Linked DNA regions of Caenorhabditis elegans. The protein of the gene in region 1 purifies or fractionates together with the protein of each later gene. This does not show direct contact. Each region holds a gene or a part of one and is shown on either strand. Other genes may lie near its edges.

The links. Proteins that work in one complex are often made in the same cells at the same time.
Region 2: the proteins of hpo-8 (region 1) and dif-1 fractionate together in Caenorhabditis elegans (co-fractionation; one large-scale study listed by BioGRID). This does not show direct contact.

Annotation. Positions count from the first base shown.
Region 1 is NC_003283.11:6,837,727-6,840,754, reverse strand, and holds hpo-8 (Very-long-chain (3R)-3-hydroxyacyl-CoA dehydratase hpo-8), read right to left. Parts: upstream 1,467-3,028; 5' UTR 1,460-1,466; coding exon 1,410-1,459; intron 1,351-1,409; coding exon 1,233-1,350; intron 1,184-1,232; coding exon 1,076-1,183; intron 1,025-1,075; coding exon 900-1,024; intron 848-899; coding exon 592-847; 3' UTR 501-591; downstream 1-500. Other genes in the region: lgc-54 (Ligand-Gated ion Channel), read left to right, coding at 3-102, 150-234, 288-469; T15B7.15 (GRIP domain-containing protein), read left to right, coding at 2,211-2,276, 2,335-2,457, 2,505-2,646, 2,703-2,856. UniProt on the Caenorhabditis elegans protein: Catalyzes the third of the four reactions of the long-chain fatty acids elongation cycle. This endoplasmic reticulum-bound enzymatic process, allows the addition of two carbons to the chain of long- and very long-chain fatty acids/VLCFAs per cycle.
Region 2 is NC_003282.8:7,551,135-7,554,577, forward strand, and holds dif-1 (Protein dif-1), read right to left. Parts: upstream 1,741-3,443; 5' UTR 1,731-1,740; coding exon 1,436-1,730; intron 1,362-1,435; coding exon 868-1,361; intron 754-867; coding exon 604-753; 3' UTR 523-603; downstream 1-522. Other genes in the region: oef-1 (C2H2-type domain-containing protein), read left to right, coding at 235-284; F49E8.6 (Early nodulin-75-like), read right to left, coding at 2,521-2,682, 2,728-2,991, 3,037-3,111. UniProt on the Caenorhabditis elegans protein: Seems to play a role in the maintenance of tissue differentiation in the developing embryo, but not for its initiation.

The DNA.
Region 1 (3,028 bases):
AGAAAAAAAGACAGAAAGAAAAATAACTATGGTGCAACTACAGTAACCAATGCAAATGCAGCAGAGAGCGACTTGAGGAGCAATTATGATGAGCCTTTTTCAGTGAGATTATTGATTTTTTTTATTATTTTAAATGTATTATCTTTTAGCAGAACGGGACTACAAGCCATAAAATTTCAATTTCTCGACAAGCGAACAATATGTTCGAATCTTTGCACGCTCTCGCACAATTCGGTACTTTTAAATAAATTTGTGCATCGTTTATTCTCTAAATATTACTTTTCCAGGACTCCTCACGGATGACGATGACGAAAATACCAAATGGACTGCACAAAATGTCGACAAATTCTGCAGAAAAGCATTTCCATTGTCGTTTTGTTTTCTGAATCTCATATATTGGTGTTATTATTTATACCAGAATTATTTGGCAAAGGCCGAAGCTCTTGCTCAAATGACGCCACCATCCTGATTTTCGGGTGACTGTTTTTTTAGAAGACATTACGGGAGAATAATTTATGAATAAAGTTGAATTTTGATTGGTTGCAATTAATCTAGAATACACTGTAATATAAATACACGTAGAATTTTTCTTTACTGCTTCTTCTTGCTTCCTCCGCCGAGAATCTTCTTTCTTTGACCGATCATGTAGAAGTAAAGTTGTGGGAATCCGGGAATGTAGCTGAGAGCAGCAATGATGAGCACCCACCAGAAGGAGATTCCCATGTTGAGACGGTTTGGCATCTCGAGGGTAAGGATTTTCTTCTCATCAACTTCATTTAATGAAGCGAACAACGTCAGAAGCTCTCCGGAGACTCCCATTGGGTAGAGAACGTAGAAGAGGGTGTATCTGTAATTAAAATAGTTGAGTTATAGCATTGATCCCCAGAATCTCAAAATACCTGAGGTAGAGAAGGAAATATGGGATTGGTTGTTTCAATACGCTGAGTGCATAGAACGAGTACCGGATGACCTCTGTTACGGACCAGGCAACAAGAAGAAGTGGAACTCCGATACTGAAGCGAGCCTAAAAATTGGTTTAATTTATTCAAGTTTAAGATAAAAAATTCCAACTCACTGTTGAGCACAAGTGGAGGATTGGCCAGACAAGGACGACGCGAGATGTTACTTGCATTGCGGTAGTTCCAACTGGTGAACGAACAAGTCCGACAATTGCGTGAATGACCTGAATATGATAATTTCTTTAAAAGTTTTTCAATTTCAACAAAGCTAACCTCGAGAATAGCTGCGGTTTGGAAGATTTTAAGCTCAAATTCCACCGATTCGTAAAGTTGTGGCCATGTCAAGCCATTAGCGAGTCCAAGAACTGTTTTCACAAGAATTGCAGACCATCTGAAATTAATTTAAATTATTAAAATTATAGTGAACTTCTTTCAGAAAAAAAAACGTACCCTAAAATTTGTAACACGTTGTACGCAACCAGATACGTCTGAACGCTCATTGTTACCCTGCAAAAATAAGGATTTTAGGCAATGCAAAGAAAAGAAAATGAGAAAAGTATATCACGCCACACGAAAAAAAAGATGAAAGGGTAGAATGGAGTGATGTACAACAGAAACGTTATCAGTCAACTTGCGGGGAGTTTGAAGAAACATTTAGCGAAAACATAAAATGGGACATTTTATGTAATGTAAAACATTGGTAAAATTCGAAAGTTTAATTGAAAATATATAAATCTTCATACGATATCTTGGTTGATACAGGAAAAATGTAAATTTCTTAGTTTTTCAGAAAAATTATGAGAGCGAGGTTATTTATTTTTAATAAAAATTGAAGACTTCAGTTTTTTAATTGGAAATTAATCAAAAAATCTAGAAATAAATCACTTAAATTAAGAAAATGAAAGAAAATAATTTTTAAAATTTTAATTCTTAAGAAACATTTTTCTTGACTACAACACTCCGAAATAACCCTTCGCGCTTTGTTTATCGTAAATCTACATCAGGGCGTTTTTGGGGACAGTTTAAAAAATAATTTTTTGTGGAACAGGAACAGGAACTTGAAGCAGTTTTTTTTGTTCTTGTATTAAAATATTAAATGTAATTTTGAAACTAAAGAAGACTTATTTATATTTAAGCAAACGCAGGAAATTAGTTGTTGCACCATGGACGGAAATTGAAATTTTATGGCTGACTGATCTGAACTCTAGACATTCTGAGTTCTTTTACGTATTACTTTAGTTACTCACAACTATGATTTCTAAACAACGCCAGGATTCTGATGAAAAACCTCTCGAGGAACAGTTAGAGTTACTGCAGGTGGTTTTAATTTTTGAAAATATTATCAAAATTACTTTAAATTTTATGCTTCATTCAGGAAAAAATCGCAGAAATGATAGTAACAAATGAGGCGACCGAGAATCAGTTGACAAATTTAACATTCGAGTCGAACGATGTGATTATTTATCTGAAAAAATTGGTTGAAGAGAAAGACGAAGAGGTAAGAGAGGAATTAGAGAAAAAGGCAAAGAACGAGCATTGTTTCAGACTGCTCGTTTGGAAGAAATGTTGGAAGAACAGAGAAAAGAATCAGATAGAATGTTTAAAATTCATAGAGATAATTCTGAATTAGAAGAGAAGAAATTGAAAGAGCAAATTGAAAAGTTAAAGAGTGAAATGAGCATTATGGGTAGGCCGAAAAGAGAATAGTGAAAGTAGAATTAAAAACTTTTTCAAAATTTTTAGATACACAACTGGGAAACCAGCATCGTATCGAGCTAGAAATCATTGAGATGGGTGCAAAACTGAATTCTCTACAAGGTGTCGTTGATGAACAGGAAGAGACAATTCGAAGAAAAGAAGCAGAAGAAAGAAGCGTCAAAATTGCAGCTATTGAGCAGTAGGTTTCAAAAAATTGTATAAATTGAGGGGTTACGATGGTAGATGGGCTCGCCTTCGTGCCTATTTGTCTGCGTCTGCCTAGAGCCTACACGCCTGAACGGCTCCCTAAAATTTTGCAACAAAAATTATTAGTCAAAAATATATATTTCAGTTCCTAAAACCTACTAAAC
Region 2 (3,443 bases), on another chromosome or scaffold:
TAAATATAGTAAACGTTTGAAAAGAAATTTTTATTGATGATTATAATTTTCGGTGTTTTTAAAACTTTTTTTCAATACAATTTCTTCCAGAAAGGTTAGGTTTTCTAAAAAAGAATTTCTAAATTAAAACTACTCATTTCCAGAATACTCTTATTTAGTGTAGGTTTTTCAATTAATGAAATTCAATTTAACTCCAATCATCACTATCCCAATCGTTTAAAATTGTGAAAATAGTTTCAGAAAGTGAACCTGGCAGTCTTCAGAGCGTCATCGATCTAGAATAGTCTTATCTTAAATGTTCCCCTGTTTTTTTTTCACCATACCCGTTGTACTCTTTTGTTTCGATAATTGTTCTGCATTTAATGAACCTGTTTCTCAAAAAAAATTGTATAGCGACAGCTGAACACGGTAAATATAATTCAACATTGAGCACTTCTTGAAGTTCATCAAAAAATTTACGATTTTCATGTAGAAATATACACAACATACAAATGCCCAAAACATGGAAATAGAAGGCAACTCGGGTAAATGTTTTTGAATAATGAAAAAAATATCAAATAAATATGGTATAAACTAATTAGAAAAATGAGAATTTTCAAAAATTTACTCGTCGTGTGGGAGTGGAACAACTTCTGTAGATGGTGTTGGGTGTCCACCAATGCCAAAGTAACGGAAGGCAGCCAACGTGAGTTCAAGTCCGAAGAAACAGGCAGCGTTTGCAGGGAAAGCACGGAGCATTACTGGCCAGAATCCCTGAAATTTATACAAATTGTAGCTAGAAATCAGGTAAAGTATATATGTATGTAAATGTGTCGAGAAATGACGAAAAATTCACTTGCATCGTCCCAATCGTTTAAAAAAAATCACCTTGAACAGAGCTCTAGGACCCTCTTCGCGAAGAACCTCTCTCAAAACTCCACGGATTCCATCTGGATACTTTCCTTCAGGGGCTGTTTGTAATCGAGATTTGAGAACATCAGCTGGAATACACACTCCCCAATTGGCAATACCAGCAAGTCCTCCAGCCATCAATGTTGCTCCTGGTGACAATGTTCTTTGAGCTCCTTCTCCAGAGAATTTCTTTTTTAGATATTCATATACTGAAAGATAAGCGGCTGAAGCTGGGATGTCTCTGAGCAGAGTGGCACCAGTTCCTCTGTAGATTGATGAAATTCCTCCTTGTTTATATAGTTTTTTGACAACATCAAGTGGACCATCGTAATGAACTCCAGAACCAGCAGATCCAGCTTGCTGAACTTGAAGAAGACACTTGATTCGTTCACCAGGAACCATCACAATTGTTGTGAAGACTCCAGCAAGAGCTCCAGCATTAGCGTTTTGGATGAATGTCATCTCCTGGCCTGAAATGCAAAATGGTAAGATTAATTCTCATATTTTCAATTTATTTGTTTGCCCATGATGATTTAGTACTAACTTGGATCAGTTTGCTGCAGCCATTTTCCAACTGCACATCCTCCGAAAAAAACTGCAAAAAGTGGAGAAACACCAACAAGTGGAGCTGCCATTCCTTTGTAGAGGGCAAAAAATCCTTCTTTGGAAACTGTTCGTTTGACACAATCAAGAGCTCCGGTAAATTGTGGCTTCTCCCCTGGTTTTGGCATTGGCATAGTTTGAATTCGGACTTTGACAGTATCGAATGGATGTCCGACGATTACGGTACATGATCCACCGACTCCTCCTGCGATGAAATTCAGAAGAACGTCCGACATTTCAATGCGTCTGAAAAATAAAATGTAAAAACTTCGATCTGATGGCTGAAATTTTCCGATATTAAGTAAGGTTAATGTAGAAATTAAGTGGTTTTTTGATTTAAGAAAAATACCTGAATCCTGTTATTTAAAAAAAGGGTGATAATATTTAGTTTTGTTCAAGTTAATACATTTCTGAATTTAAGAAAACCCTGTCAGGCCTTGTAAGAAATGTTTAACTTATCTTAACTTATCTTATCAAAGAAAATTGCACTTTAAACGCTAAATTTCGAATATAAAATTTAAAATTGGATTTTTAGGAGTTTTTAAAGAACAGTAAAGCTTTTTTATCCTATTTAGATCGATAGTGGGAACGAATGTTTACGAAGATATCAACAACAAAAGGAAGATAAAAAAATAAGTGAAGAAAATGTTTGTGTGTCCGACCACGTCGTTGCTGTGAGGGTTCGCCACAAATAACAGCCAATGAACACAGAGATTGCTGGACTACTCTCCGAGAAAGAGAAGATAACGAAACGTTATTGAGATAGTACAGAAACCGGGGAGACGCAGATAGCATTCGTTTTTTGCACTTTGCCCTTCAGGAAGACTACATCGTGGCTTATTTGTAGTCTTGGGAGAAAATAAATGCATAAATGTGGTTTGATCAAAATATCGTTCAGGTAAAATGACTAAATTAAGAGCACAAAAAATGAAATCGCAGAATAATTATGATTTAGTATGCAAACAGCAATCACAGATGCAAAGGGAATACAGTGTTGAAAATGTTGAAAAATCTTCAGCGAAATTATCATAGTTTTTCTTTCACTTCCTGCGAGAGAACCTGTTCGTAGGTTGGAGGTGGCGGCAGGTTGCCTGAAGACGTCGGGAGTGTTGGTGGAGCAGATGAAGATGGACCTGGTGGTGGAGCACAGTAGGGAGGGGCGAACGACGGGGTTGAGCTGTTGCCATGCTGAAAGTGGGTATGGTAAAGTTGAAATTTAAAAATGTGTGTTACCGAGTAGAAGTAATACGATCCTGGAGCAGGGGGAATGTTCCTGTCTGGGACTCGGTTTGAGAAGTCTGGTCCGTCGAGGAATCCCTCACAGAAGTTGTCGTAAGCCCCAGGCAGATCGGTTCTTGCAAATGCGACTGTAGTAGTTGGAACCGATTGGAGTTGTTGGCCAGCGGAGGTGAAGTAGAACTCGTTTTGTTGAACAAGCGGACCTTGTGGATATGTTGGCATCGGATAGTGGGCAACTTGCGGAGGAGGTGGAACGGCCTAAAAAAATCAAATTATTCATGATTTAAAGTTAAGTAAACTTACACTTTGCTTCGGATAGCTTGGTGCTTCATTCATTCCACTTTTCTTATCGGTTTTCTTGCTTCCAAAAAGTGGCATTTTTCACTTCTCGTCGATCTCAGAGCAAAAAAAAAGAAATGAAAAGAGCAGCAGCGTGAGAAATGAATCAAGATCGATGAAAGCGCGCTCTCTGCTGTCCACAGATGAAAATGCCTAGCAACGACTTACAAACTCGCTCACTGATCAGTTTTCAGTGCACACACTAATCAGAATAGCACTGAAAAACTTATTCGCGTTTAAGTTGAAACAAGTGGAAGAGAAACAAGTGAAGTCTCGTCCTACGGCCGGGATACACATAAATTTATGTTGAAAAAGGAAAAAAGAGCAGAGAAACAAAGAACAGAGAAAACAGCATTGAGAATAAACAGAAC